Schizosaccharomyces pombe: one gene and its partners. Changing the gene in region 3 together with the main gene of any one other region gives a genetic interaction. Each region holds a gene or a part of one and is shown on either strand. Other genes may lie near its edges. The genes, in order: SPOM_SPBC1604.12, sgt2, ung1 and SPOM_SPBCPT2R1.01C.

Evidence for each region.
Region 1: mutations in ung1 (region 3) and SPOM_SPBC1604.12 together harm fitness more than expected from each alone (negative genetic interaction), as found in Schizosaccharomyces pombe (one large-scale study listed by BioGRID).
Region 2: mutations in ung1 (region 3) and sgt2 together harm fitness more than expected from each alone (negative genetic interaction), as found in Schizosaccharomyces pombe (one large-scale study listed by BioGRID).
Region 4: mutations in ung1 (region 3) and SPOM_SPBCPT2R1.01C together harm fitness less than expected from each alone (positive genetic interaction), as found in Schizosaccharomyces pombe (one large-scale study listed by BioGRID).

The regions. Positions count from the first base shown.
Region 1 is NC_003423.3:3,908,135-3,917,461, reverse strand, and holds SPOM_SPBC1604.12 (uncharacterized protein), read left to right. Parts: upstream 1-5,916; 5' UTR 5,917-5,986; coding exon 5,987-8,569; 3' UTR 8,570-8,827; downstream 8,828-9,327. Other genes in the region: importin alpha family nuclear import signal receptor adaptor Imp1, read right to left, coding at 1-836; exoribonuclease Rex4, read right to left, coding at 1,910-2,659, 2,734-2,766; srb7 (mediator complex subunit Med21), read left to right, coding at 3,850-3,891, 3,933-4,026, 4,080-4,109, 4,162-4,412; atp17 (F0-ATPase subunit F), read left to right, coding at 4,953-5,006, 5,059-5,295; mrpl32 (mitochondrial 54S ribosomal protein bL32m), read right to left, coding at 9,013-9,324.
Region 2 is NC_003424.3:3,625,755-3,633,367, reverse strand, and holds sgt2 (SGT2 family TPR repeat-containing protein), read left to right. Parts: upstream 1-4,412; 5' UTR 4,413-4,481; coding exon 4,482-4,584; exon of another isoform or gene 4,585-4,624; coding exon 4,625-5,245; exon of another isoform or gene 5,246-5,293; coding exon 5,294-5,523; 3' UTR 5,524-5,693; downstream 5,694-7,613. Other genes in the region: noc201 (Noc complex Noc2 family subunit), read right to left, coding at 1-1,832; DNA recombination mediator Swi2, read left to right, coding at 2,027-4,195; protein Rqc1, read right to left, coding at 5,824-7,613.
Region 3 is NC_003421.2:601,265-608,875, reverse strand, and holds ung1 (uracil DNA N-glycosylase Ung1), read right to left. Parts: upstream 5,903-7,611; 5' UTR 5,840-5,902; coding exon 5,613-5,839; intron 5,556-5,612; coding exon 5,223-5,555; intron 5,156-5,222; coding exon 4,747-5,155; 3' UTR 4,472-4,746; downstream 1-4,471. Other genes in the region: U3 snoRNP-associated protein Rrp5, read right to left, coding at 1-2,539; protein Spo13, read left to right, coding at 4,004-4,019, 4,071-4,471; DNA repair ligase Lig4, read left to right, coding at 6,073-6,304, 6,349-6,359, 6,447-6,509, 6,550-6,649, 6,715-6,811, 6,851-6,936, 6,991-7,611. UniProt on the Schizosaccharomyces pombe protein: Excises uracil residues from the DNA which can arise as a result of misincorporation of dUMP residues by DNA polymerase or due to deamination of cytosine.
Region 4 is NC_003423.3:4,504,642-4,511,972, reverse strand, and holds SPOM_SPBCPT2R1.01C (uncharacterized protein), read left to right. Parts: upstream 1-4,499; coding exon 4,500-4,989; intron 4,990-5,047; coding exon 5,048-5,367; 3' UTR 5,368-5,456; downstream 5,457-7,331. Other genes in the region: SPOM_SPBCPT2R1.02 (uncharacterized protein), read right to left, coding at 3,164-3,523; SPOM_SPBPB2B2.19C (transmembrane helix domain-containing protein), read left to right, coding at 7,029-7,331.

The DNA of each region.
Region 1 (9,327 bases), on a different chromosome or scaffold from region 3:
GGTCCATCAGAAAGATAGGAGATGGCCCAGCACGCGTCAACAATAATCTCAACGTCTTCAGAATAAAGGAGCTTAGCAAGGATTGGAACGGCTACAGAAATAGTTGACCAGTTAGGTGGTGGATTTTTGCCTCTACACAAGTTAGAAAGTGTCCATGTAGCGTTACGGAGCATAGAAACATCAGAAGCGCTACTCTGAAGAATATTAAGTAAAGGCTGTAAAACTCCGTTACCGAGTACATAGTCACGGCAGGCAGAAGAATCGCCAGCTATGTTACCGAGGGCCCATACAACCTGCTCACGGACATCTTTTTCAGGTGAAGAAAGTAATTGAATAAAACGAGGAACAGCGCCGGAATCAACAACAATACGGGTTTGATCTGTGGTACCACTAGCGATATTTGTTAAGGCCCAAGCCGCTTCAAATTGAAGCAAGTGATGTTCACTTTCTAAAAATTGTACGAACCGGTCAACAACACCACAAGCAATTACCTGATCAATAGGGGGATGCGTCTCCTTAGAAAGATATTTCCTGAATTTCGTGACGGCACCTAATTGTAGCTCAATGTCGTCTGACATCACATCAGCTGTCAATTTAGGAAATTCATCTTTCATTTGTTGCTCCATTTGAACCTGAGACTGATCAGCCTCCTCTTCCACATCAATGTCATTTTGTAAAACAGCGTTTAAATTCCTTCGTTTATTCAAACTTTCCTCACGTTTTTGTTTGCGGATTTCAATTTGCTGTTCTTCACGTTGCCGACGAAGTTCATCAGCTTTGAAAACACCTTTGCTTTTAAAACGGCTTCTTCTATCTGATAAATATCTCGATTCCATTTCTATAGGAATAAACTTTTTTGATATCCTTTTTACTCTTTTTTTTTTAGTTATCTAAGACAGTTGTGGTTGCTGCGAGTTTAATGAGAATAAGGAGGTAAAAGAGCACTTGTGTCGTTCCAAGAAGCAGCCGGCACCCAGGTAACAATGTTCAAAAATAATAAATTTAGAATAATTTGAAATATATCATTTTCCGGTTCAAATCGTTGAAACTTTCTAGATCATTTTTGTTCTGTCATTGGAAACCTTCGCACCATAAAACGGGTAAAACAACATGCTTATTGAGCTCATCAACCAATTTTTCTTGGGTTTTTAACAAGCTGAATGCTATAACAAGAATTCAAAATTTAAAAACAAATGGAATTTTTCTTTAAACAACCTGTCAAGTTGGCCTATTTTTATTTTTATTTTGATTATATAATACATATAGTTGAGCAATTTAATCTTTGAATAAATACTTATTTTTCAAACACTTCCGTATCTGTTTTGTAAGCTATTAATATGTATACATTAATGGTCCATTGTCTAACTAGAATTTATTTGGTAGCTATTATTAATATATATATTTTTTATTTTTTTTGTGATAATAAAGATTAATTCGGTATTTATATAAATTTAGGAATTAACTTAACGGCGCTTGAAAACATATTATCGTCATTCAGTTAAAATGCTCTAAATCATATACACTATAGGAAGTAATCTAATTATATAACATTAACTTTATTAATTCACAAAGTAATTATGAAGACCATATAAACGAAGCTGATAAATCTCTATATCCTTGTTTTTTCCATACATTATTTCTTTCCTTCAGTTGTATGCATCATTTATTTATACTAAAAATTATTAATAGATTGACTATTTAAAACCAGAAACGAAGGAAACAGAAGAGATAAATAAAGAAAGAAAACCAACGATTTCATAAGAGCCAATGAAAACAATATTGCTGTTATAAGCAACCGAAAATATATTTAACATCTGACACATATCCAGTAAAATTATAAGAAACATTTTCTTGCATATTATTAAACCCAAATCCCAAATGACCAGAACGAAGTCTAGTGATTCAAAGCTTATGACTTTGACAAACCTTTGAATGCAACTTCATCCATTTCTTTTTTTACTTTCTTATATAATTCCATCGTTGCTTGGGCATCCTGGACGGAAGAATGCTGTCCAGATTGAATGTCACGCCCAAGAATCACTTCAGCAAGTTTTTTAAGCCCTGGTGTCCTTCCCTTGGCTAATTTCCGATACCCAGAAAATCTGCTGGTATCACGAATCATTCTTCTTGGATGCGATAAAAGTAGTACTTTGAGATCGTTATGGACAGCATGTCCAACCAATACTCGATTGTCGAGTATCTTAGCAACTTCTGCTTGTACTTTTTCAAATGAAGGTGCATCCCGCATGTGAAATGACTTGACACCACTGACCCATGTTCTCCAATCCGTAACCTTTTCTTTAGGACGGACATAAGTATCATACACGACATGACCATGATAATTAACTATACTGACGCGTGCAAGAACTGACATGTCATCTGCCACCCCAACCATTTCACAATCCATTGCAATATATTTCCCCAATGTTTCCAAATTGGTTTTTCTGGTAAGCTTGGAAGCATCCACGCCATATGCGTCAAGGACTTGAGATTCAGGGATATCATTTTCCTTAGCAAATTTCTTTAATTCATTCATGCGTTTTTTATCGACGATATAAGAATTCTCATTCTCATTGTTTTTACCTTTCACACTTTTAAGGTATTTCTTTTCATTAGAATGCTTTTTTTCAACCCGTCCACTCTTAGCGCTGTCGAGTTTCTAAACAACCAATACCGTTAGTATACTTAAACAAGAATCTTAAATGACTTAATGGAAACTATAGCCTTTCATACCTTCTTTAACTTTTCCCAATTGGAAGAAGACATTGCTTGTGCATAAGAGCCAAAGTTGGTGCAAGAAGCAATTTGCAACCTCTTTCAATATGATTCTCAACGCGGTATCACAAATATTTTATCACATTTTAGCACATTTCATTATTTTGAATAAAGCGTTGATGATAGTACGTTACGTTAAGTATCATTATATAAGTCACATGCCTTGTATTTATTTATCTATAGTATATATACATATATTGACAGTGATGCACCATTTGTTGCTTCTTGATGTAACTACTGCCAAATATACGAGACTATGAAATAAATTAACCTCCGTTCTTCGGGTCACCAATGAGCTATTTCAGTGTGTACCCACTTCGTAAGAATATTATAAGGTACCGGTGGTTAATGCATTTCCTAATAAAAGAATATTGTGAATATTCAAGACCCGTAGTAGCATATTCGTTAAACATTTAGTGATTTATGTTTGCTTAAAAGGATAGATTGTATTGAATTTGTAGCATTGTCCGCTATCTTTTTAAAAGCAGAGTACTGCAATTTTAATAACAATGCACCTTCACGTAATATGAAAACACTCAGAATGAATGGATTATCAAAAAGGTACTGAAAGGGGTGGGACTCGAACCCACGAGCTTTCGCACTAGTGCCTTAAACTAGCTCCATAACCACTCGGACACCCTTCCACGATCAAAAATATAATAAATATGTCGAATGTATTACTATTATCATTGTTTTTCTATGTTAATTAAAAATACTTAGCTGATTCTGTAGTTTCTGTAGTTTATTTTTTTTCGCTTTCCATTAATTTTTTTTTAAATTTTATGTACTGTTTTATGTTAAATTTCTTTTGCTTATGTCAAGCGTGATTCTAGCTTAATTCTTTTTCCCGATTGCTAGACAGTCGGTTTTTAGGTCGATACATTACAATTACAAACAATGTCATAAAATCAAAAGCTGTGCATAATAAATATCCGATGCTGAAATAACAGAAAAGTTAATTAGCGATTTATTGTTCTTGACATTTGCGCTTCAACAATTGTTACCTGCATCATGGACCTTCAACAACTTGCGACTTTCAACTCTTTTTAACTCATATTACACCTACATAAAAAAATGGCATGTAGGTGTACTCAGCTTCAAGATACAATTGATGAGGTAATGGGACTAGTTTTCTTTTTCTATTCTAACCTATGTAGGTTGCCACACAATTTTACTCTTCCATTCATTATTTAAGTTCTCATCATGATTTCGTTCCTTTACCTGGTCAAGAAAAGGTTTCTGATTCTAAAGGTATACAAGATTCATTATGATGCTATTCAAAGTAGCTACTAACAAATTATTAGTGAACCCAATTTCTGCTGAAGAGTTACAATGTACGATATTAGACGTCCTCTAGTCATTTTATGTGCTAACTTCTTTTTGTAGTCGCTCAAAGGGATCTAGCAAAAGACTTGGTTACAAAATTTATGCAAATAGACACTTTGATCAACCAACTTCCAGGTATTTCCACTGCACCAAAACATCAATTAGAGAAAATTAAAAAGTTACAAAACTCCATTGAAGAAAAACAATTGGAGAGGAAGAGTTTAGAATCAGAAAATGAAGATTTAAAATTACAATTGGCCAAGAGGATTGAAACATTTGGCCGGTTATCATGTGTCCTATTTCAGCCCTGATGATAATATGTAAGCAAAATATGCATACTAGCATACTCTTCTAGTTGCCAGATTTATTGAAGTTTTAAAATATCTTTGTCTGAGCTAAGAAAGAAGATGTGATCGCTGGAAGTGGGCTTATCATACGGGCAGCCTTAGATATACTGTTTTGACAAATGATTCCATTTTTATTAACGAGCTAATCTTTTTGAATCGATTTACATAAATATCTATCTACTTGTAGTTTTTAGAATGCCTTTACTTCATGCTGACGAGTACTTGACTGAAGTAACTAATTGTGAAAGCAGCTATGAAGTCTTAAAAAATAAACTAATAACAAACAGAATTTGAAAAGTAAAAAAATAGCAAATTAGCAAGGATAGTTTCTTATAGAAGAAAGAAAAAAATCCCTGATTTTTTAGAACGTTTAACGAAATTTACAAAACAATACGCTATTTTTGTTTAAGAAAAAAAAAATCCATTAACCATTCATTGCAAGTTCCTTTGCTATATACGACGGGAATTGAACATCACCATATTCACTTTAACTTAATTGTAATCATGGCTCCATTTCCTTTGAAATCGTTTATTCCCCCTCAAGTAGCGAATCCTACAGTAAGATTAATTAAAAAAGTGATAAATATAAACGAAAATCTAACTAAGATAGGCTTTGAATGCTTTTCCTAGCTCTGCTAGGATGGGAAGAATTGTCGATTTTTATTCCCGCTTACCGCATGGACCAGCTCCTAAAAAGAGCTCAAACAGTTTCTTTAGTTGGTACTATAAAAAGTATCTTGGGAAGAATGCTAGCGGTGCTCCTTTGCTACATTTGGTCGGCGCTGTTTTGGTATTTTCTTATGCCAGCGAATATTACTATCATATCCGTCATCATGAAGAACATTAAGCTCAAATGTTATGCTCCCTTTACTTAAAACCTACAATTATGAACACAATTTTTCTAGGTCTTATTTTTCAAACGTAGTCCAAGAGATCATCTCATTTTGTTGATTTCTTGTTTATGTTTAAGAAAGTTAGTAACTACAAAGCTGTTTATCGTTTATAAATGGTCAATCTTAATAACAATAGGGATTCTTAGTCTAACGGGAACAGTCTTAAACCTGATTTTGACAGAGCGTTATTGGATCTGAGTTCCACTAACAATGGTATGTCATTACAAAGGTTTGTTCTATCTTTTTGTTGAGTGTGCCCCTTATATGCCAAGTTTCTCTTAACAACATTAAGATTCTTGATGTCGCTCCCTTCTCTCAATCTTCTTTAGCAAAGCTTAATTACTTTAGTTCTTTAAAGTTGTGTAGCTAAAATCCATTATTCTATTTAATTTAGGTAGTTTGACTTGTAAAAAGTTGAACGTGTGTACATGTAATTTGATGTATTTCTATTATTTTGTAAGACTTTTCCTTTATTTATGACATTATTTTATATACTTTTACTCATTAACAGTGAAGCGAGCATACTTCGCATACGGTGCGTTAACGCTCCACCCAGAGAAAGCCCCTACCTCTCTGCTTCTTCAAAACACCATTTGTGTACCACACATTCCGGTTAACGGAGAAAAACGTCTCTATCAATAGGTCATGGAGAGAATTCAAGAAAATGACCCTATTATAAAATCAGCAGATGAAAGCAAGGAAAGTCCGGCGGAAACGTTATCTTCAATATTTAAGCGACCGAAAATTAAGTCTTCTTCACTGAACAAGGCGTATTTAGGGAAGGCAGGATCGGTGAATGGAGCGAGTAATACTTCGACAAATCAAATATCCTCTTTGAAAGTCGATGTCTCTTCTCCACCTTCAACGGCTCCTGGTTCGGCAGGATCCACTCCGAAAACTACGCCCGTTTCTTTAAATGCTGGCGTGCCACCTTCAAATACTGGCGCAAATATTACAACAAATTCAAATAATAACGCGCAAACTATTTCTTCTTCGTCGCAGTCTGTTGGGCACATCGACAACCCGAGTGGTTTAGGCACCCATGGCAAAGTTCGTTTATCCATAAAACTTAGTACTGGAGGATCTGGAGGGAGCTCTGTTACTGGAAAAAGGACTGCTCCAGGAAATCCTTGGGCAATTCGTTCTGCTGAGAGATTGGCCTCTAACCCAACCTCTATTGGGACTTCTTCTCCTGAAAGCATTGACAATAACTCCAATAACAAGAAAAGCGCCCCTTCCTTATATGCAGCAGCAGCAGCTTCGGCTGCTCGCCATTCTATGTCGGCTGCCTATGCATCTTTTACTGGGACGGTTTATGATTCCAATGGCAATGTCATTAAAGGACTAGATACTTCTAGTTCTCTCTCTTCTTCTTCTCATCCATCTCATGAAGCCCTTTCAACTATAGATACAAAGAATCTTCAAGCCCTTGCCGCCTCTGCGGCTCCCTCTTCTTGTCGCCAGCAACCTGTTGATGAAGAGCGACAAGACCGTGTTAGCAAAATTTCTAAACATTTTCAAGATTCAGGCACCCCTGTTTCAGAAGAAGTATCTCCTACAAGACTTCCTTCTCCAACCAGTGCTCGCCGAGCATCTCACTTATCAGAAGGTAAATGGGATGAAATTGACGACGAAGACGATGACGATTGGGGAAGCACAATTGAATTTGAGGATGGAACTACTGTCGTGATTGATGCGAAAACGAGGAGGTATGAGCCAGTGAAACGTCAAGACACTCTTGCTTCAAATCATGTCCCTTCTGCACCCTCGAATGAATCTGTATCTTCTGCGGCTCCATCCAAAATCCCTGTTCCAGAAGAAGCTAGTATTAATGAACACTCTAATATTACAGATGAGGCCGTTTCACTGCCTGAACCTGTTTACCCTAATGCTCCAACTAGCGCTGTATCTGTGCATAACCCCACGATTTCTGATGAAGCTGAACCAACTGAAAGGGCATTTCTGAAGAAAGAAAAACCTCAAATATCAAAGGAGAAGAAAAACCCTAATGTCACTCATGAGGAATTTGTTGAAAAATCTACGGCATTGCCAAGACATATCAATAAAGTAGAAATCGTCAGCGATTCAAGTGAAAGTTTTGCCCACAAAAATAATGAAAAACGTTTTGACAAAGAAGCTTCTGGTCGTATCAACGACCTTCGCGCAGAGCAACAGCAAATTATGCTCGAAGCTCGCCAGAAAGCAATTGAAAGGCGGAGGAATGAAGAAGAAGAACTTGCTCGATCACGAGAACGAGCCCGTAAAAAAGCTGAAGAAATAAAGATATCATCATCAAAGATGAATTCCTCACCCACTATTACTAATGAGCGGTCTTCCAATGTCGAGTCTAGCAAAAAAGTTGAAGCAATATACACTAAAGAGCCTCAGTCTATTACCAATAGTCCCGAAGGACTACATAGTAACCAAGAGACAACAGAAATTGATCCTTCTAGCCCCAGAGATGATTCTACTCCGCTTTCATGGAGAAGTCATAGTCATCCAATTCCTCCTGTTCAAGTCTCGCCTTTATTTACGTCGGATAAAAATGATCCTTTACAGTTGAATCCCCAATCTGATGATAGTACTTCTTCCCCGAAACATGGAAAGTCTCGGAGTATTGATGAAGTTATTTTAAGTATAAAGGATGTCATTTTTGACAATAACTTATATAAACAGAGATCCTATCAAAGTGGGGTGGCCGCAAATGCTCATTTACCCCATCGTGTCCCCAACGAACATGGAGGAGTTTCACGCATTGGCAATTCTAATGCTCTCGGTCAACCTGTTTCTTCATCCTCTTCTTACAGCCACTCCAAAGGTCGTGATACCAGAAGTAGTAGTTATGTAGTATCCTCGGAAACGAGCTCTTTAAAATCATCGAGATTGATACTTAGTCATGCAAATTCTGTTCGAATTCAGCGATCGAAGGGCGATGTTATTTTGAATTTACATTTGCCTAAAGTGAACCCGGAGCGGTTTCTTCCTACTAAATCATTAAAATTAGAGGAAATGAAACCATTAGAGGAGAAGGTTCCTATATACCGCTCATCTTCCAAACAACCCCTTCGAATTCATCCTACTCATCCACTGCGTGTAACTGTTTGTCTTCCAGGTAGCAAGACAATTCAAGTGGCTCGTCGCTCTTTTCGTAATTCAATGAACGCTAATCGTTATGATCCTCAACGCCGAGAACGAATTGATTCCGGTTTATGGAGGGCGAAAAACTAGCTTGGTTTTTTCTTATTGTTATCGTTTATGTATACTTTACATGAGATTATAGTCTCTTTTGTGTTTTCGATGCATTTAATATTATTTACACGCTTACAACATAAACGTGTATTGAAAAAGGATGAAAGCTAAGAGATATATTCAGCTTTTTTGTTATTTTTTCACTCTAAATTCTTTTGCATAATATATGATATTTATACTCAACCGTACATAGTCAACAAATAAAATTAAGTAAAAAAATTCTTTGTTATACGCGTATTTTTAAAAAGGGTGTAGTTCATTAATCGTAATACTGAAAAAATTTAAGTAGTGCGAGCAGATTCAATTCACTAACTGCAATACTATTACATGAAACAACCTTATATTTAATGTTAAGTCCATTTTTTTTCTTAAAATAAAGATTTGCAGCATCACTAAATCAGTGAAGAAATGCTTAATGCCCTTCATTCGTTAAATTCTCGACGAATATTTCTAAAACAGTGAGAACATAAATGATGTGCCAATTTAAAAGACCCGCAAATAGGACAACGATTAACTGTTTTGTCTTTTAATGCTTTTCCGGACAGTAAGCGACTTCGTTTCTTAGTATAAGAAGTTTTTTTCTTTGGAACAGCAAGCAAAATGGAATTCCATATATTAGCTATTGAAGGGGGGGAAATAAATATCCTCAAAGAAATATGAGGAAGGGCGCTAGCTTGAAAAACTGATAACATTTTTTGGCTAATTGCCAAAGAATTTCCTCTTAAAAGAGCCATTTT
Region 2 (7,613 bases), on a different chromosome or scaffold from region 3:
TGTTCAAGGCGATTCACCAAAGTCAACAATCCACGATTAAGTTTAGCATTTTTGCTTCTTTTAGCAAATCGCTTACTTCTGACAATAGCGGGTATAACGAGCTCAGGGAATGAAATGTCAGTGGCATATAAAACATAATATTCGCTCAAGAGTTCCAATAATTGATCAATTAAACCGTCCTGGTAGACCTTTGTTCTTAAGTATGACGAAGATGCACGCAACTCAACGTCAAAATCCAATGGCTTAAGCGTACTAGCTTTGGCTTTTCTTGACACATAAGAAGAATCCAAGACCTCGAATAGCGAAGGTGCAAGAGGGATAAACACACCAGTATGGCGCGATAAGTAAATTAGACTTCGGATGATGTGAAATCTCATTGGAAATAATTGCGATGACGGTGAACTCATTATAACTCCAAGGGCTATTTGGACTAAAGGATAGACCAAAGATTGTAATTCTGAAGCAACTCCCTTTTCTCTACTCAACCAGGCTGCTTGACTCAATAAACGAGCCCAAAAGTCTAGAGAATGCACATAACTCCAGCTTTGAACAGGCTTTCGAGAATCCTTACTAGGTTGATGAATGGTGTTACGAAGAGTAATAGCAAGTTGTCGAATGTAACGGAATCCGATTAAATAACATGATTCAGCGTCCAATAAAAAAAGATTAACAGCACTATTTTTCAGGAAATTAATTTTATCGAGTGTATGAACGGTAGTGTAAGCTGATTGTCGAGCCATACCAAGATAAACCTCTTTTAAAACGAATTCCAGCAGAGTTATGTCAGCTGTCAAGCATAATGTACGAAGCAATACAACAGCTGAAAACCGAACGCTGTCATCACGAGTCGAACTCCATACTTCAACAGTTGCCTGTGTAAACTGTTTAAGGAATTTTCGATAGGTAATCATATAAGGCAATACATTCTGAGCTTCCCGAAGTAGTAAAGAGATATTCTTGGCATCGGTCATCCCTTCTAGCAAACGTAAAATCGAAAATCCATAGGATTTTAACACAGGGCGTAGCTTCGGAAGCACCTTTGAATCAGTGTTTATAAATTTTTTTCCTTTCGCATCCTCTTGAATGGGAACATGATAATTCAACACTTTGGGGACGTACTGGATGGCTAACAACAAGAGGTCATTGAAAACTTTTGAATCGCTAATAGTGTATTTCAAATCTTCAGCCTCCTCCTCATTTAAGAATGCTGCTGCCTTAAACGCTTGCACGACCTTTTGTAGTGTGGTCAATGAATGGTTCGTCTCCAAAAGCTTTTGCCATTGTTGAATTGTATCACTTGTCAGAACGATTTTTCCGCTAGAAGATTTCAAACGTTCATTCTCATCAATTTCCTTCGCCATTGCGTCTGTTTCAGCGGCGTTGAATTCAAGCAAGTCTTGGTCATTCTGCTCAAGGAACTTGTAAAATTCTGGATCCTTTTCCTTTAGGCCTTCCAATTGCTTTTGATAAGATTCCAAGCCATCCTCTTCTTCTTCCGATGATTCAGAGGTAGAGTCTTGTGTATTTTCATTTGGCAAATTTTTTCTTTTTCTTGAGGAACCTGCATCATTCGAATTCGCAGAGTCTAATTCTTCAAATCCGCCTTCCAAAAAAGCATCCATTGACATGGAGTCATCTTCAGAAGGGGTGTCTTCGCTATTCACGTTTTGAATAAACTTTTCTACGTCTCTTTTCAATGTTTCATCTTTTCCCTCCTTTTTAGAATGCTTTTGTCGTATGCCTTTATCAGTGTCTTTCTTTTTTATTTTGTCATTCTTTTTAGCCAAAGCATTAGCTTTTCTGGCTTTTATAATGGAAGATAACTTCACCATGTGTGGTATGTGCACAGAGGTTGTTAGAATACCTCCTTCAAGAATTAGTGCCCACCATACTCAGTCCAAATTTCTTCACAATTTCCACACCAAAGATATGTCCTTAATAATCATACTCCGGCAAATTTATTAAATGTATATTGCTTTGAACAGAATTTTGCTTTTTGAGAATCGTGAGAAACCTTATAGGCCTTATGAATGTGAACAAAAAGCAGGAGTCGATACCAGTAAACACCGGATCTGAAAGTATTTCCTCTAACGACAATGAAAGGTTTGAGCAAGGAAAGGGCGTCGGCTCAAACCTTGGATCCCATTTCTTTGAGCCGGTAGAATACTATTATTCTGATGGTAAACCGATGAATCAAACAGAAGCAAGCCAGATGAAGGGAACCTTTTCTAGAGATTTTTCTTTAAATGAAATGAATAATGAATTTATCACAGATTCTTTCTTTTGTACAACGACTCCTGATCCAAAAACTGAATCTCCCTCTTTTGTGAAATACAATGCCCATTGTGATGACCACCCAGAGATTAGCGGCCATGTGTCCTCGAATGATAAAGACTTTGCATACTTTGAAGATAAATCTGAAAATCAACCACTGGTTACTCTTCCTAACGAGAATAATCAGGTTATTGAACCGTTAAGCTCACAAAGTTGTAAATCTCAATTATCAACCCAAAATTATTCGGAAAGTGATTTTGGTTGGAACCAGCTGTGTGATCTCGATCCTATATTTAAATCTTTGGCTTTTACAGACGATACTAATCTATTCCCTGCATTTGCAGACTCTGAAGCCGCACTGATTATGCTGAAGAAAAGAGAAATGACGAGAGTGAAGCATAGGGCAGGAAGGCCAAGAAAGTATTCGTATGTTAATAAAGATTTGAACTTCGAGGAAGGATTGCCAAGAAGAAGGGGAAGACCTACAGGCTGGAGGAAGTATCCTGAAAAGGAGGAAATATATCCTACTCTGTCTCCAAGGATTAAGAAACCGAGAAAAGTTTTCGATGCTGTAGTCATTCCGGTTACCATAAAACCTAGTATATATACAGAGCCCTCGTTACCTCATCATATCGATTGGAACAATGGTTGTTCTGAGGAATTTGATTTTGAGCCATCAAGAGAGGATGAAGACTTCCCTGATTTAACTTCTGATTCTACTGGTCAAGATCCATTGTCTAGTGAGCCGACTATTTTTGACATTTCTCCATTACCTAGTGATATGGAGCCAACTTTTTCCGAAAATTCATTAATTACCATTAACAAAATGGCAATAGAAGAACGGAAACAATCACGTCGACTTGAGCAACCACTAGCTGAATCTCAACATCAAGAAGATTTGTTGAATCCCTACGGTGTAGATCAAGACTTTGATGAAACTTGCATCAATGAGTCTGAACAACAAGCCACGCATATTCCTAATTCAAGTATTAAATTTAACTATGATTACACTCCCCCTAAGTCTGCTACCTCCCATAAGCATAAGAGGGTCGATCTTCTAGCATCTCGGAAGGAGAATGTTTGGACTGGATTGTATGGGAAAGTACAAACTGAAATGGTTTCCAACAGAGGCGAAGCTGTGTTGAATGAAAATAATAGCAAAAATCGTACTAATGTCACTAAGCCGAATTCATACAAAAACAGTGTTTTATCAATTGGGAATAATCATTCAAACCATTCTAATATTATTAAACCGAACACCTATAAAAATACTATTTTGTCCAATGAGAACAATACTCCAAACTATTCTAATGTCTGTCTTTCTACCTCTTTGATAAATCGAAGCCTTCCATCTCTTAAATCTACTATGCACCCAGGGGTCAACAAAGATTTAATTACGCGGCCATTTAAGAATGTTAATAAAATGTCTGTACGAAAGGCTCTCATTAAACCATTTCATCCTCCGATTTCGAAGATTTCGCGAACCCGCTTAACTGTTTCCTCACCTGAACGGCTGTATTGTGCCAAGCCTATCTCAATGGCTACTGCTCCAAGTGAAACGGATAGCAAACTAATTAACAGAATCCGTAACCTTGAATTAGAAATTGGTGGCTTGAAAGAACAATTATCCGTTGTAGAGCTCGCTCTTGACACTGACAAAAATTCTAAACAGATACAGGTGGTTGAAAGAAAAATCCAAAATTGGCGAAAATCTGCGCAATTAGCAGTCGAAGTGCTATTTCCTGTTTTTTCTTTGAAGTTTACAACCATGCTTCAAGAAGTTCCACAGTCTGTTTTACGCACATCAGCTAATGATTTACGCACCAAGCCATGTTCCATTGGTACGTACCTTGAACAGTTGCAAATACCCTTCCATCTCCTTCAATATAATTCTGAGACAGAAAGCTGGGACCTGGAATAATATATGTTTTTAGTTTTTTCTTTGCTTCCTGTCTGTTGTTTCTATCTATTTTTGTTTTTTTTTGTCATATCAGTATTTTACAGTTCATGATTCACATTAAAGGTACTATAGTTATCTAATGTTATTTTAATAGCAATATAATTAGGAATCAAAAATTCATTTTATTATTTGCATGTTTACGTATATAAAAATCTATAACGGCGCTTGGAATAATTTTGCCCTTCGCGCATCTCACGATATACTTTCAGTAATACGAAAAAAATCGGTTCTTAAAACGATTAGGAAAATGAGCTCTAACAAAGTTACTGCGGCTATTATTGACTATTTGAAGCAAGCTATTACCACCGGTTCGATTTCTGAAGAAGAAAAGGAAAGCTTGGAGGTTGCTGGTATGTGTAACCCCATTTAAGATAATCTAACCAAAATCAGCTCAATGTATTCAAGATTCTTTTAAAATCAAACCAGAAGAAATTAAGCCCAAGTCAGGGGATCGTTTAGTTGCTGCTTTTGAGGAGTACGAAAAACTGCATCCAGTGGAGGAGGATTCCACTGCTCATGTTAATAAAGAAGAGGCTGAGAAATTAAAACTTGAAGGAAATAATGCCATTGCGGCAAAGGATTATCAAAAAGCTTTGGATTTATACACTAAAGCCATAGAAATCGATCCTACCTCTCCAGTTTACTACTCCAATCGTGCAGCCGCGTATAATCAGCTAGGGCAATTCGAAAATGCTGTAGAAGATGCTTTAACATGCTTAAGTTTAGATCCTCATCATGCTCGAGCCTTTGGACGACTTGGTCGTGCCAAATTGTCACTTGGCGATGCAGCAGCGGCAGCTGATGCTTATAAGAAGGGCTTAGACTTTGATCCCAATAATGAGGTTTTAAAGAGAGGTTTGGAAGCTGCTAACAAGCAATTGAATCAACCATCGGATTCATCCGCTACTTCTGGAGCTGACCAAGCTCGCACTTCTGCTGGTGCCGCTCCTGATCTTGGATCCATTTTTGGAGGAGGTATGCCTGATTTAGGTTCTTTGATGAACAATCCTGGTAAGTTTTTTAGTGTATACATTATTCATTGTTAATAAGTGATTTTAGCTGTTATGAACATGGCGCGTAACTTGATGCAATCGGGTGCTTTGAATAATATTATGAATGACCCTAATATTGCCAACATGGCCCGTAACTTTCAATCTGGAGGAGGTATGCCTGACTTGAGTTCTCTTGCCAATAACCCCCAACTGCAAAATTTGGCTCGCAATTTTATGAACAATAACAATAATGGCAACACTGATAACAATAACCAAGGAAATCCTCCCCCTCAATAAAGTATAGGTGTATATTGATTTGTTTGTTTTTGCTTTTCATTCAAGCAGTTTATATCTTGCATTTAAATTCATTTTGAATACTTGAAGAATTGCTTTGACATTTTTTAGTACCTTGCATATACAATCATTCTGCTAATCAATCATATTGTACATGTTTGTTAAGATTACCGTATTTACAGTAGCGTTTGCATCGTTTTTCGTATTATTTTTAAATAGTTCATCTAATTTTTATTGATAATTTTACAATAGCTTTCGTTGTATGAAAATAAGGACTTCATTAAACAATTCTTTTGAAATAATTCAATCCCCTTGACCCATCTCTTCTGTGCTTTCTTCTGCAGGTTCCGTCTCTGAGTTTGTTGATGTAAACAAGCTTCCAAAAAATGAACGTAGTCGGGTCATCACCGGAGTTCCATCTTCTGATTCTTCACCAACCTCCGATTCAATCTGTTGTAGCAATTGTTCAGCAGGAGGAAGATCAAACTCATGAGCAGGGGGTTCTTCCTCATTTTCATTAACTTCTCTTGCTCTGGATAAATAATCGGACAAGAACGACGCAATTCGACGAGATATATCTCTACCAAAGACTTGTGACTCGCTTAAATATGTATCAGGAGGTAGAGGATCAAAGGATAAAATAGTTCCTTGCAAGATTCTCTGTGGTAGAAATTTTCTCAAGCTTTGCTCATTTAACAGGATAACACGCCTAGAGAGATTTTCAGTGAGTTCTGCGAATTGTCCTTCTACATCGTGCAGGGTCACGGTTTCTTTTTCAAGAATGGAATTAATGAATGCTAATACCGTAGGATCAGACCAGCTATCCTTAGCATATAAAGCATACATAGCAGAATGTAACTCTTGAACTGGATCTTGAGGGGATGGAATAGAGGATTTTGTGAAAGAGATATTCAAAGTGTCCAACAATTCACTTAGCATGTAAGGTGCACGTTCAAAGGCGGCAAGCATACTCGCTCGTGTGTCGGTAGTATCACCATGTACGTAAAACATGGCAAGTGCTGACGAATATAACATATTTGGCGTGTCCGAAATTTTGTTTGAATTTTCCAGGTAATTCGCAAAATCAATTATCCAAGCAAATTCTCTTCGACGAAGTGCATATATATCAATACAAGTACCAATTGCGTAGGGGTCTGACATGTCGAACTGCAGTAAAGCTTTACAAAACTCAAAGACGGTTCTCCAACAACCCCGGCTTTGTAGACTTTGTAAATATCTCCAAATACAGAGGAAAAGACGCCGATTAGAAGGGATGGCAAAAGGAAGCCGCGTGGCACCAGTTGCAAGATTAAATCTAGGATGAAGAATACTGTCGAAAGCATAAAGACCGCGGGCAACAAGCTCTGCTGACAGTTCATGATCGCCCTGCTGATCTATTATTTCAGAAACTTGTAATAACGTGTCTATATGAAAAGGATGGGAGCGTAAAAGCATAAGTAGGTTATTAGGGTCATAGGTTTGCACGTAATACTCGAATGTCTCTTGAACTTCCTGGTAAGCACGACTCTGAGTGATTTCAAAAAAGCACTCTAAGTCTTGTGACTGACCGGTAAGTTTCATTCCAAGTCCAGATCTTACTAAAGGAGGCCATCCTTCTTGAGGCTGTACTAAAACATGGCGTTTCCTCCGCAGGTTATCATGTCGAGCGTTGACCGAACGTTTCTCAACGATGCGGCCAAAAATCTTACGTATTTCAAGATCAGGATTTAACATACTAATATTTACACCCAATAACTTATTCAATTTTTCATCAAGTTCTTTATCTAACGGGATAGTAGCAGATTCTTCGACACCAGCAACATGCTCAACCTGATCTTGCTCACGATATTTAAGTTTTAATTCAGCAGCAGCCTTTTCTATTTCATCAATATCATCATCAATGTTTTTGCTTGATTCAAGTCCCTCCAATTTCTCATTATCAGAAGATTGATTATCTAAATCACGCTTTCCAGTGACTTTCTTCTTCTTCTGCTGCTTTTTCTTTTTCTTTTTATTTTTTGCTTTCTTATTTGTAGAGACAATTGGAGACTCGCCTTCTACTAATGGTTCATCCTGCTCTTCCTCAGAAACAC
Region 3 (7,611 bases):
ACTTGCTTTCCATAAATTCCACAGCTTTCTCCTGTTTCTGCGCAAGAGGCTTAAATGACATAAACGCCTTTTCTTGTGAAAGCTCTACGGACAAACACACACAGGTAACGGATTGCTGGGGTTTATAGACTGCTGAAGGGACTGGCACATACTCTTCAGATATATAGGCCTTTGGAACTAATGCTACTAAACCGTCACAAAACTCGACAAAAACGCCAAATGTAGTCGCATTACGCACGAATCCAAAATATTTAATACCTTCTTTAAGATCAGTGATATTGATGGGCATCCGATTTTCCTTGGCAGCTTCAACAAGGCTTTTCTTCAATGACAAGGAAATCAACTTTTTACTGGTGTCTTTACGAAGAACTAAGACCTCAGCAAGCTTGGTAGAAGCTCTTAATTTATTCATGACTTTAGAGCATTTATTTAAATCTCCATCGCAAAGTTGGCCAAGGGTAATCACACCAGTAACCTTGTCTCCTAAATCAACGATCACGGAATCTTCGGTTTTCTGAAGAACAATACCTGAAAGTACGGAACCCGCTTTTATGTTTTCAAATCTTTCAAGTCTTTTAGCATCCCAACTCTGCTCACGACAGCCGACACGCATTTTACGATTCTCTGGATCACAACTGACGATAGTAACAGAAAGTGTTTGCCCAACTTTAAAGTGTTCTCTAGCATCACGAATGTAAGCTTCGCTCATTTCCGAAACGGGAAGAAAAGCACGGACACTGTTGTAAAACTCAACTATAGCTCCATCTTCAAAAATACGAGCAAGAGTTCCAACTGTTTGTGTTCCTGGGGTAGCTTGTTCATAGTCATATATCAATGGCAAATCTGTGTTAAGTAATGATTTTTTGAGAGTTAAGAGGACACGCTTTCGTAGAACATTCGTACTTAAAACACGGCATTTTACGGAAGAGCCAACTTTAAAACGACGTTCAGGAAACTGTAGGGCTATGTCAGCCATATGGGTAGAGGGAACTAAACCATTTATACCTTCCGAAATAGTTACCACGATTCCTTGAGGTATAAGCTTCGCAATGGTACCATCGACAAATTGACCGACTTCGATATCCTCTATTCGCAAAAACTGCTGGTTTAATACAGATTGTTGAAATGACAAGATATATAAATTATCAACATAACTGTAATTAATGATTCGAGCCTCGTGGGTGCTATCAACTTTATAGGGGCCAGAATTGGGACTAATTCCAGCAACCTTTTTATCGGAAAGGCGTGAAATGTGAGCAAATCCGGATATCTCAGGTACACCAACATCGCAAAAAACGCCAAGTGAGGAGGATACATACGTAACCTTAGCAGCATTGACGATAAAACCAATATCTAGTTGATCGGGATGTGGAGTATTGGGAGTTGCGAAGTTGAAGGTAAGCACGTGAGGTAAGAAAGATACTGCAATTTTAGGGGGATCACCGGGAATCACAAAAAGAACGCGAGCAGGAACAGATTTAGCAAGCTGGAATTTATCTTCTAAATCTTCCCCTTTCACGGGAGAAGAATGATAAATATCACTAGTGACATCTACTACACCCATATATTTTGCAATAACTCCGCTTTCCTTGATGTCCGTTACCAAAACATTTATATAGTCACCAGGAAGAATAGCTTGTACAGAAGGCATAACCTCAAGCGCCTTAGTGGATGTCGCAGTGAGAGAAAGATGGAAAATTCGATCTTCTTTTGAAATAACGGAACACAATAAACTTTGGCCTTCAACAAAAGGGAAATCATTTATGTGTTTTTTGGATAAAAAACCAGTATAATTATTAATACCAATATCAAAAACAATACCATGATCTTCAATACTTGAAACCACGGCCTGTATCATCGACCCAGCAACAAAATCCGCAGCCTCAGGAGCAGAACCGTTCGCATCTTGCGGCTTAAGACTTAGCTCGATGTGTCTTTTTCCGGTTTTTGTAGTATTTTCCGAGCCAAGGGCTGTAACAGAAACACGCACCCATTGACCAACTTTGTACAAATCCATCAAATCCGGTATTTGATTAAGACCGTCTTCCTCTTCAGTTGCTGCATTATCTTCTGCATGATTGTCAATACTATCCAGACGATCAGAAAGCTTATCGGAGATATTTGTGATAGGTACATAACCTGTCAAACAGTTTGGTAATGAGACGGCCAAGTCCAACGTATTTATTTGAGCAATTTGACCTAAAATTAAAGAGCCGGGTGTGATATTTTTATATCTTAAGCTTTGAATATGAACCTTCAAATTTTCTTCGTTGTCCAATTCGGATTTGGAAGATTTTTTACTACCCTTTTTCTTAGGACGAGTTTTTTTACTCAATTCAGCGGTACCAGAAGCGGACTCCATAAAGTCCTTCTTAGCCTCTAAAACAGCTTCTTTATACTCTAAAGGAGTCAATGAAGACGCCCCACCTCGAGGGAAATCTTGAGTTGCCTCGTTAGCACTCAAAGAAGAAATTCTCTCATTCCCTTGGGAATCCGAGCCTTCGGAGGCATTGCTCCTCTTTCTTTTATTTCCAGCCATTTACTTCTATGAACTTCTGAAAAGAAAGAACGACTGGAAGAAAGAAGCTTTTTATACAAAGTAGTTGGTAGCGAGTAAATTTATGCTGCTGCTACAAAAGAAATAGTCTAGGAAGGGTAACGCATCATGAGAATTTCTTTTAACGATGAATATTGTACTACGCAATAATATGAGAGTTGAGGAACTTAAAAAAGGTGCACAAACAATATATGCGATTGTACATGGCAAAAAACAGAAAAACTTACAAATTGATCATTTAATTTAATTTTTTTTCTTCTTAATTTTTTTTATCTTAGTTATTCGCACTGCATACACTATTAATTTCATAATGAATAATGCAAATGCCAGAATGCTTGTTGGTACAAGCAAATGAAACGATAAATCTAAATTTACGAAGCTTGGGGATGTTTATTTTTTTTCTTTGATTAATTTTTGTAGCAATGAAACAAAATTAGGAACAGCGCGGTTGTAAGTTTATTACGCCGGACATTTCCATGATACATAGGATGAAAAAATTGGCTATTACAATAGAAATACAATATTTATCACAGGTACAAAAAGAATTTTGCGTAAACCCTTGTTTTTAGCGCTTACCAGTTGAAATGGCATCGATAGTGAATGTCAAAAACCTTCTCCTCAATCTAAATGTTGACCGTCGAAAAGGTTATTTCCGAATTTCCTTTGAAATATTAATTTTTACCTCCATTATTTCTTTTCGTTACTTATAGCATTCAAGGGTTCAAAATTGTCTTGTAAGTTTTTATACCCTCTTCTATTTATTATTGTTCGCAGCAATTTTTTTAAGCTCTCGTTAGTTAGATTAGTGTTTCGTTTACAATTTTAACCCTACCCTACCCGAATGAATGTTTTGTTTACACTTTGGCAGGTTACAATAGCAGTGGACATGAAAATGAAATGAGGAATTGCACTCTGTAATTGTAAGTATATGCTTGAAGCTCATATAGAATATGATAATAAATTCAAAGCATCTTTATAGCTCAAGTATCTTGATTTGAAATCAAGGACCGAGAAATTGTTACATTTTGTTTCTTTCGTTTATTGTTCGATAATTTTTGTTGTAAAAAACGAAATGAGGCTCACTTAATTCTTTCCTGTATTGGGTAAAAAAAATTTTTGTATGAAATTGATAAAATAAATTTATTTCTTCAGTGAAATTGATTCAATGTTCCATAAATTGTATATTGAATGTATTGCTCATAAAATTCACGCAAAAAAATATAAATAAAAAAGAAACAAAGCAAACTGATAAAAATAATAAACGGATGATTCTTCAACATTAACGAAGTCTTTCTCCTGTTTGTTGTCATTTATATTACGGTTAACAGCCATATGTACTGTGTCAACAAATGACATTTTCTCTAAGCAAACAACTTTAAACCACTGTACTTTTGAAAAAAAAGTTAGCAATTAGTATTTTATAGGAAAGGAAAAAAAATTGAAACAATGATGAGCAATTCTCGTAAGGGACAACATGACAATACAATATAAAACAATTTTTTCTAACATGTAGAAATTTCAAAGCTTTTTAGCTCTATCTCTAACAAGGAAAATTCGAATGAAAATGCTTTAAAAGAAAGCACGAATAAACAATTAAACAATGCCAATACTTTAGCAATAACCCATTTGAAGGAACAACTTTCGAGAGAGGTTCAACGAAGAGAAGAGTTGGAAGGATTGCTTGAGCAAAGTCAGAAAGAAATGGAAGATTTATCGGTTTCACTGTTCACTGAAGCAAACGAAATGGTGGCCAAGGCAAGGCAGGATACAGAAGTATTAAAAAGAGAATTGGACTATCTCAGGGCAAAAGAAAAAGGACGTATTGGGAAACTAAGAAGCATCCAAACTGCTGTCCGAACTTCAATCGAAGCCAGAAAATTACTGAGTTATTCTAACGAATCAAATTACCACTGATTACATTAAGTCTTTAATAAATGTGCCGTTTACGATGGATTTGACATAAATATTAAACTTTAAAATGAATGATTTAAATGTTAAGACAAAAAAAAAATAAATCCTCTGCGAAAAGAAAGACATAGAAAAATAACACACATTAAGCAAGTCCAATTGTAGGTAGAATAAAGATAAGCATGCAAGTGGTATAATAAAGCAAGCATGACAAAAGAAAATAAAAAGCTTGATTAGACCTATTAGCATCCAGTAAACGAGCAATTATTTTCTGACTTTTTCTACTCAGTTGAAGAGGATTCCAACTCGCTAGACTTTATTTTTGCTTTTTGTTCAGAAACAGCGCTCCAATTGATGCATTTTTCAGGTCCATACTGCTCTTCGAGCCACTCATTGGTTTTCTTGAAATGGTGGCATTCAAAAAAGCCACGATGTGCAGAGAGAGGGCTAGGATGGACACTTCTAAGTACATAGTGTGCTTTCAAAGGAAGACCTTGAAGTCGCTTAGCTGCTGGAGTTCCCCATGCTAAAATTACAAGACCCTTGCGATTCCGATTCAACGCAACTTGCAGGACAGCAGAAGTGAAAGTTTCCCAACCCTTGCCAGAATGAGAAGCAGCTTGATGGGCTCTTACAGTTAAACTAGCGTTGAGCATTAAAATGCCTTGGTCAGCCCAAGGAACTAAATACCTGCTTCATTAGCAAAAAGCCAAATCTTAGAAAGAAAAAATATAAAGACTAAATAATTTTAACGTACCCTGTTTTCGGAATAACAAAATCAGGATAATCGATCTTGATGGCTTTATATATGTTGACCAAACTTGGTGGACATGGAATTCCTGGACGTACGGAAAAGCAAAGACCATGGGCTTGACCAATGTTATGGTAAGGATCTTGTCCTAAGAGAATGACCTTGGTTTTATGAAGTGGAGTATGATGTGACCATGAGTAGATATCTTCTTTCGGCGGGAATACACGTTGGCTTTGCCATTCCTTCATCAAAAACTCTTTCAGATTCAAAAAATATGGCTTTAAAAATTCATCTTTTAACGCATCAAACCAAGAACTCTCCAAAGTATCAATTTCTAGTCTAAATAGGTTAACAACCTTTTCCAATTTTCTAGCCTACATTGTAAGCAATACTTACTGTAACAGCTTTCTTTGAGCAGGAGTAAGATTTTCTGCCCATTTTTCTTTATTGAACTTTGAGACAGAGTTGTTCTCTTTATTATCAAGTACCTGAGTATCCTTTAAAGCAGGCGATGAGGTGTTTGTCTTAAAAAAATTATCCAAACGTGGCTGCTTTAATTTCCCGTCAAGTTTATTAACGGTATCATCAGCTTTACGCTTATCTGTAGTATTCAGAACAGTCATTTTACCTAACTTATTAGAAAACAGCTCTCTGCTCCATAAACATACTGTCCACCGAATCGTTGCAGAGAACAGGCTTTCATGTATGATAATTAGAAGTGTTCGTACTACACACTTGACACTACCACGATAATGAGACTAAATTGATGTTTATTTCTTATCGGTTATTTATTTGAGAAATATTATTGATCATAAACTGTATTATAAAACGATTGCTTCAAGCCAAAACCTAAGATATGGACGAAGCCAAAGAGACGGTATTTACGAAACCTCAAAATCATTCAAGCACCCTTGAATTCTATGATTTTGTTACAACATTATTGGAACCGTTATCAAGAATTGGAAAGACTAGGAAATCCAAAACATCAAACCTTGACCCTTATGAATTAAAGCGCAAAATCCTCTTGGATTACTTTAATAAATGGCGACAACATGTAGGACCAGATCTTTATCCATTACTTCGACTAAGTAATTTAATATTTGTATTTTATTCCTTATACTAACTAATGGAGTGCTTCCTGATGTACGACTTAAAATTGTTAGACCACTAAATCGCATTACATAAAGTGTCTTAATCGGTGTCTTGAATTTCTAATTGCTAATTTTCTAGTTGGATCGTGAAAGAGGATCATATGGGTTCAAGGAATTTGGGCTTGGAAAACTGTTTATTCGAGTAAGTAATTAAGTTGCAACATCAGTGACTAATTAACAAGGCTATGCATTTGAGTCCTACTTCTGAAGATGCAAAATCTTTGAAAAATTGGAGAGGATCCGAGTCCAAACATACTGGAGATTTTTCTACCATGTTGCAGGGTGTGTTCATCATAGTTTTTGTATTCCAATTGATCCTGATCATATTTTAACTGAAAAAAATTTAGATATTTTACAAAGAAGGGCATACAGGACCTTTCCTGGTGCCTTTACAGTTGGTGATGTCAACGCCCTGCTGGATCAATTAGCAGATGCTTCTTCTGAGTATGTTCTAAATTTTTTACCGTATCTAACCTTAATAAGGGATACCCGAGTTAATATTTTGGAGCAATTTTATAGATCCTTGAGTCCTCTTGAGCTTCGATGGCTAATTCCCATTTTACTGAAAGGTTGGTTGGAAATGATATTTCTTTATTTATGACCTAACTTTTTTATTTCTTTAGTTCGAAAATACGGAACATCGGAAAAATTCATACTTTCTGTGTTCCATCCTGATGCAGCTCGATTATATCGACTGTGTAGCTCCTTAAAGAGAATTTGTTGGGAGCTCTATGATCCTAGTCGGTCTCTTGATGAAACTGAAACAGATGTGGAAGTCTTTAGTTGCTTCCAGCCTCAGCTAGCCAATTTCAAAAAAAAGGATCTCCATCAAACGCTGGAAGCCATGGGAAATAAACCGTTTTGGATTGAAGAAAAGCTAGACGGGGAGCGTATTCAATTACACATGAGTTCAGGAAAATTCCAATTCTATAGTCGAAATGCCAGGTCGTACACTTATGCCTATGGCTCTAGTTATTTCGATGAACAATCTAGGCTGACACAATACATCATTGGAGCATTTGACAAACGTATTTCACAAATTATTCTTGATGGAGAAATGGTTACATGGGATCCAGTGTTGGAAACAGTGATCCCATACGGAAGTTTAAGAAGCATTTTTGAAGATTCTTCCTCTCATTCATCCTACAGCCCTTATTACGTTGTGTTCGATATTTTGTATCTTAATGGGAAGTCTTTGGTAAAGTACTCATTAGAATCAAGAAGACGAATATTAGAGAAAGTAA
Region 4 (7,331 bases), on a different chromosome or scaffold from region 3:
ATAAGCATCAATAGTTAGGACACACATTATGAGTAATAAAACTAGAGTAATCATTGCTATATCGAAGAGTATAACTTATTTGGGTTGAAAACTATCACTAGACGTAAAATCTAATATACTAAACGAGTTACGAGGTTCAGTTGTAGTTCTTTATTTATCATCTTTTCTAATGATTGCTATCATCGGGTATTCTATGTAAGTAGACAAATTTGTAATACATTTACGTTATTCATTTCCTTTCCTTGAAGGTGTTGTAATATTCAATAGATCCCTTGAAAATTACATCAGCTCTATAAAGGTTGGCTCATTGCTAAAACTCAAGTGTTGCTCAAATGGTTTAATAATGTCAGCTACGCAGTTTTGGTATCTGTTTAACGATACGTATAAGTACGATGTGTTTTCCTTCTGACCTAGTATATTACAGTACACAGGTAATATAAGTAGCACCTTCTATAGATATTTATTAAACTGTTACCTATCACTGTAATAGCTTATTACAGAACTGAGGAACGAGGTTAGTTCTTCTCAATTTATGGCATTTAGAATTATTTTTATTATTACGTTTGATTAGTTTTGTTCACAACTAGCAATATGTCTAAATAACTTATCGTGTAAAGTTGATAGAGCAAATAGAACACGTAGCTCAGAAAACACAATTCCTCTAATTTAATCCTCCCAAGTCCACGACATACCCACTACAGGTTGGTCTCTCGACTGATGGATAGAGAGTCTATCAATCTTGTATTCTTAGCGGTGAACCACCACCATCCAAAAAACTAGTGAACTACTTATATCTTAGTAATGAGTCGAGTAACAAACTTTTTACGATAATGATACTATGAAGAAGCATCTACCAGTTGTGCATATGTCAAAATAGCGTTATAATTTTATAACATCACACAAATATATTAATCGAATAGTCCTAAGTCACACCGTAGTTGACAAAGCGGCGTTGCTAGTTCCATAAGTAATATTTGTACGAGCATATACGATTAATTGATTCGTAAAATATGATCTTTTTATGCTAATACTATTATTCATTACTGTCTACCATATTTTGTAGTTCATCATTATTTTATTTATACAATTACTAGCTTTGATTTTTGAATTGTTATTTGGTTATTGATAGCAATTGATATTAAACGCTTATTCTTTAATATTATTGCACATACATCGTATTTACTGAATATGCCGGATAAAAACAACAGACTTGTGTCCCCGTGATCTAATAAGTTTAGTTATGTGCATCTTAAATACCGGCACAATTATGATGTGGAAAGCAGTAAAAAACATTTCCATATCAGTATTCGTACTTATTGCTGAAGAAGACATATAATTCTGATTTATTTCTGCAGATACATGTATTCATGAAACCTAATGTAAAATAACAATCATCTCCGGCGCAATCGTCAATGCACTAAGAAGAATTCATAATCTATGTCGCTAGTCCCACGCTTGCTTAGTTCAACAGATCGCATCAAGTTCTGCTTGACAAAGTGATTGTATGGTATTCCGTTAAGTAAATTGCAAGCAGGTAAAGATGTCAATCCGGAAAAAGATCGAAAACTAACATGACCAGTAATATTGTTACGTCGTTCACAATCAATAAGTGCTCTAAATTTTACTTCAATGAGATTCCTAATTGTCAAAGGCATCAATCAATACGGTAGTATTGCGTACTGTTTTGGAATAATTCATAAGTGACAAATGTAGTTCTAATCTCAAAACAATAGAGAAGTATGAAGAAAGGTTGAATTGCAGTATTTGATTCCTAGTATCGTACTGAGTTGGAAGTTGTTGGTACGAGTAGTACTAGCAATAAATCACAGTGATATAATACGTTGTAGAAGTAGAGCATTACAATTCTACAGATAATATGAGAGTATAGTATACGAAATAATCAAATTGTAAATATATGTGATGATAAAATATTGAGTTCTACTGATCTTTTCTAATAGTCGCTTTCAATGGGTATTTTTGAAATAGACATGTAGCCTTCCGCAATTATTGGCGAAGAAATCTTGGTATTTTAGGTATGGCATATGGTGATGCACAACGAGTATATCAAGGTGTAGTGTAGTGTAGTGTAGTAATATTGCTGACGTTTACTATTGTTAGCTGATACTAATAAAACAACATTACTGATAATATAGTGTGCGTGTTATTACTTTAGTATTATCGTTTTGAATGTTTGTCAACTTTCAATGATGTAGGAACAGAAAAGCGGTAGCTAAAAATAATATCGATAGTGTTCAGTTTCCAATGGAAACTTTTAAGCTGTACTTAGATAATGAAATGATATAAGAGCAAACAGATGTATAGCTTTTTTTTTTAGGTTTTTTGAAATAAATTAATGAAGAAATATTATTGAAATTTAAACATAAATATACTAGCTACTAATAAAAAACCGACAAAATATATTGTTTCAAAGAGCAATAGTTAAACATGTAATCATTTTCAAGCTTAAAAATGGCGACATATAACCATGTTTATCGAATATGTATGTAATGTATGTAACGGTTTGCTTCTTTCAATTTTTTTTGTTATTTTTATGACTGAATGTCAAATACTTTATAAAGAAATTGTTAATCATGATAGATTCAGTCCACCAGTAGTACACAAAGTCAGCTGCCGCTTCAGTTGGAAGGAATAACAATCAATATGTCGATTCTGTGAATCTTTCCTTAGTAGGATGACTGAATGCTTTACCGGAATTAAAGGGACTGAACATTTTTTAACTGCTGTATTAAATACTACTTTTACATATCGCTGTCAATCTTGCAACAGTTACGCTATACTATTAAGACAATGAAGTTAATGCTTCTCTTAATCCTTATAAGTTTTCATTTTTCTTCATTTATCGTAGGTATTACCCTCTATGCTACATTTCCAATTTAAACTTTACACAATTAACTTGGGTTGTTTTTAATTGTTTTAAAACTTCAAGTGTTGATCTTTATTATGGACAATGGGATGCAATATTAACACCCAGATCCTCTATCACTAACACATACTCTACGCATTCCAGCAGAACCAGGTATAACGCCTGATACTTCAGGGTGGGTGTTTGCTCTTGATTGAGAACAATCATCGATAATAAGCCAAAACATCACATGCTAGATCTCAGTAAGACACGCTTTTACTACCAAAGGTTTGTATAACATTACCCCCCCCAATCACCTCTATAGTCGGCTGCTAACGTGGCTCCACCTCGGGCTCCAACAGCATTGGCTCCAGTGTCACAGTCATATGTGCTTGCCATATTTGTACTATGACATTGTGTGGTGTATCGGTCTCGCTTCTTCAGCAGTGGTAATCCATTAAGCACATCATCTGTCAAGTTGATTATCCATGTAGCATCATCCGCAGATTGAGTTACCAAAGTTCTGAGTAGAACTATCCTGGAAATCTCTCCGTCATTATAAAGTTCATGGAGATCAATCAATAACTCGTGAGTAACGTTATTAGTTGAATTGCTTATAAGCGGATTATCGATATATATATGGTTCATTAATGCAGTCATCTTGCTAGCATTATATAATTCATTTACGATATATCTGAATTCATAGTGCTGTGTAGTGTTATCTGGAGGAAATTGGGCTACCCAGATTACAGCTGGAGCGTCTTCGAGGTCAGTTGGAAAGCAACTGATTAGTGTAACCAACGATAGATAGCAACGTAACTAATAATAGCAATCTCATCGGTAAAATATTAAAAAGAGGATGAAGATAGTTCCAAATTTCTATGATATTGACGTTCTCTTGATCGCTATATATTACTAAGCCTCAGAGCATACAAACACCTACTTACTGCGGAACGAAAATAAGGGTTATAGGATAATCCTTTGTATGATCCCCTGGATTAAGCATAATCTCCTATACAATGTATGTAGGTCAACAATACTACTAAATACTACTACGTTGAATAACACCATACGTCAAGTGTTCTATATTTGCTCTATTAACTTTCCACTCTGAGTTATAGAGATAGACATATTACTAATTATGCAGGATATTTAGAAAAATTTTTAAATGCTATAAATTGAGAAAAACTGAAAAATAAAGAACGAGGTTCAGCAATAAGCTACAGCTACTTTAGTGATTAGGTAACAATTTAATTCATATATAAAAATATCAATAGCAGATGCTACTTGTATTACTGTGTACTGTAATATACTAGGTCACAAGGAAAACACATCGTACTTAAACGTATCGTTAAACAGATACCAAACTGCGTAGCTGTTAAATTGTGAAAAGAAAAAAGTTGTAAGGATTACGAGATGCCAACATCATAATGCTTTTCCTAAATAAATGAGACACCTCAGAACGTAAAACATTCACCATTTTGGTTTTTTTTTTTTAATTTTCTCGTTTATGGCTTAAAATATTTTAGTATATTTTCTTTTTTATTTTCCATAAACCACTCTTTTTAATTTTACTTTGGGGAAAAATACTAGTGAATCAGAAGTCATCAAATTACAGTGCTGTCGTTCTATTCCAATGTCAAATCCAGAAAGCTTGAAAAAACAGGTTGAACCTCCTGGTTACAATGAGTTATTTATGGTGGAAGATGTTTGTAATGTGGACCTAGAGCAGGGACTTGATTTGTGTAAGCCTGAAAAGGTAAACAAACAATCTCAACGATCTCGACAATCCCGACAATCCCTCTTTACCAACACCATTAAGCCTCAAAAAGACAAGATGAATATTAAAACAAATAAAATAAAAGAGTTTTTAAATGACCTTTTTACTGAATTTTCTAAATTCCACAATAGCTATTATCCTGATGGAAGGATTTCTACCCGCAGTAATTTTCGTTGGCCCTTGCTTATTATTTGGTCTATTATCATTGTATTCGCAGTAGACAAAAAGTTCGAAGTCCAAAAGTTTCTTTCAATTTGGATAAATGAAAATCGGTTCTACAGTGAAATTTGGGTGCCTATTGCTATTTACGTTTGTTTGCTTGTTTTAATGTTACTTAGTTTAATTTGTATGTTTCCTTTATAGTGATGCTTTTTTTCTTTTTTTTTGCTAATAATTTAAAATAGTCTTTGCAGAGTTTGCGGTACTTGCTTTACGGGTGACCGGTGTGATTATAGCAGTCTTGGGTATGATTATAGCAGTCTTGGGAATGATTATAGCAGCCCTGGGTGCAACTATAACTGGCCTTTTGTATTTTGGTCATTGGGCTCTTTACAAACTTGTAATATTGTCTTTAGGCTTTAAAATTGTGACACCAGGAGACGTCTGTGTTTCTAACACTCTTCCTACACATAACGGAGAAACAGCATTACATTCAGAAACAACAGTTGGTTCTGATATTGAACAAATAGAACTACAAAATATGCCTACTCCTGTGAAAAAATAATTTTCTTTATCGTTTTCATGATCATATAGAATATAACTATTCTTAACAATGTTCGAATTGACTGTCCTGTCCAAATCATGCACATAAGGTGCGTTCGTTATGAATTTCAATTATGGAACCAAACCAAATTATGGTTTTAATTAAGATATTATCACTTAATGTAACTAATGTTTTTATCTTTCGTTTCATAATTATTCAAATACTAAAAATGACTTTTTTATATATTTTTTTTTTAAAAGCTTAAAATATATTATATTAAATAAAAAATTTCGAATTGAACCAATTTGGACTCCCACTTGTGTTTCAAAAACTCCATTTCATCTACTTTAACCCAAAATTCAGCGTCATATTCACTACAGGAAAGGAGTTTTATTCATTATCTGTTAGTAGAAACAATTTGGTTTCAATTTTTTATGACGAAAATGCTTCGAGTTAATTTAAGGCTTTGTTTGAAATATAATTCGTTTAGTGATTATTCGCTTAGTGATTATAGATATCGTTCTAATTTTCAAATTACAAAATACTAAACAGCTTTATTTGAATAAACAGTAAAAGATTCTAAATCTTTGGACTACTTTTAAATGGTTGACAGACCAGAAAAATTTGAGAAAGAAAGTTTTATAACAAATCGTCTTATTATCTATCTTGCCTAAAAGGAGTGATCAACCTTGAATGACAGAATTTATTTTAGGTCGATAATGGTTGGACGGTGGTGTGGTGTATGCTTGCTAAGCGAAAATATTGCAGGACATAAGTTAGACGAATTGAATTTTCTACGTTATAATCTGTTCTGGCGCTTGCTCGCAATCGTAAAAACAAACTATTGAAATTAAAAAAAAAAAAAAAAGATTGGTAGTGTACATGCTGAATTTCAATCTATGCTTTAAATTAATAATTGCTAAATTCAAAAAAAAACGAATGCTATCTCTTTATCCACTGGTCATTACCAGTTTTTTTTTTTTTTGCTATATTTTTCTTTTAAAAAGCTTCTGTATTCTCGGGATATTACCAACGGCGTTATTAACTCAATCATCGAATGAAGTACGAGTACTAACGGAATAGAACTAGTCAACGGTGAATGACTTTATCTTTCACGTTCCATACTTAACAGATTTTTTATTATATTCAGTAACTTGTGCTTGTACAATTTAAATCTTGAAGTAAAGGTATGATGCGTGAACAAACCATTTATTTGTGTTCTTTTCCCTCCAATCTTCCCAATGTTTTAACGCTAACGTTATGCAACGTGGAGCACGGTAACTCCAAAACGAAAGATATAAAAGGCTAATCATTCCTGATCTGCTTTTCCCTTGAGCAAGCATCATTTACCAACTTTTTTAAAGATGCGTCTTCATAAAACACTAGCATTGCTGTTATGCAACCTAGTTCTCCATACTCTAGTTAAAGGTGAAGTAGACGCCAAAGCAGTATCTATTACTACATAAAAGGAAAACTCTACCTTGTCAAACCATAATGGACTGCCTAAAGAAGCCAAAAAGCTCACTCTTAAGTGCAGTTGGTTCATTGTGGAGGAATCTAACGGTGCCAGAATACATGCTAATTTTTTTGCACAAAGCTTCGATAAAAGAGAAATTGCTTTGTCTTTTTTTGAAGCAAATGAATGGCAAAATATAATTGGCTGGAATGATCAAGTTGAGGAGATGATTGACTTTGTAAAATCAAGAGACACGGTGATCCAAAAATCTTTTTTTGAGGAATTTAATTCCCAAAACCGAGAGATGGGATCATTTGCATATTCTGGTAACTCGGAATCGGTATGGACGGGCGAAAATATTACAAGTATATGGAAAACTATTTTGATTAATGAAACGGGTTCTTACTGCGTAGCTGCGAGACCAATGACAATGGATGGAGCTGAATTTAATTTAGACCTTATGGGGTATTCGGTTTCAGAAGATCAAATTAATAATGACGAAATTGGCATTTGGAACTATATTTCTGTA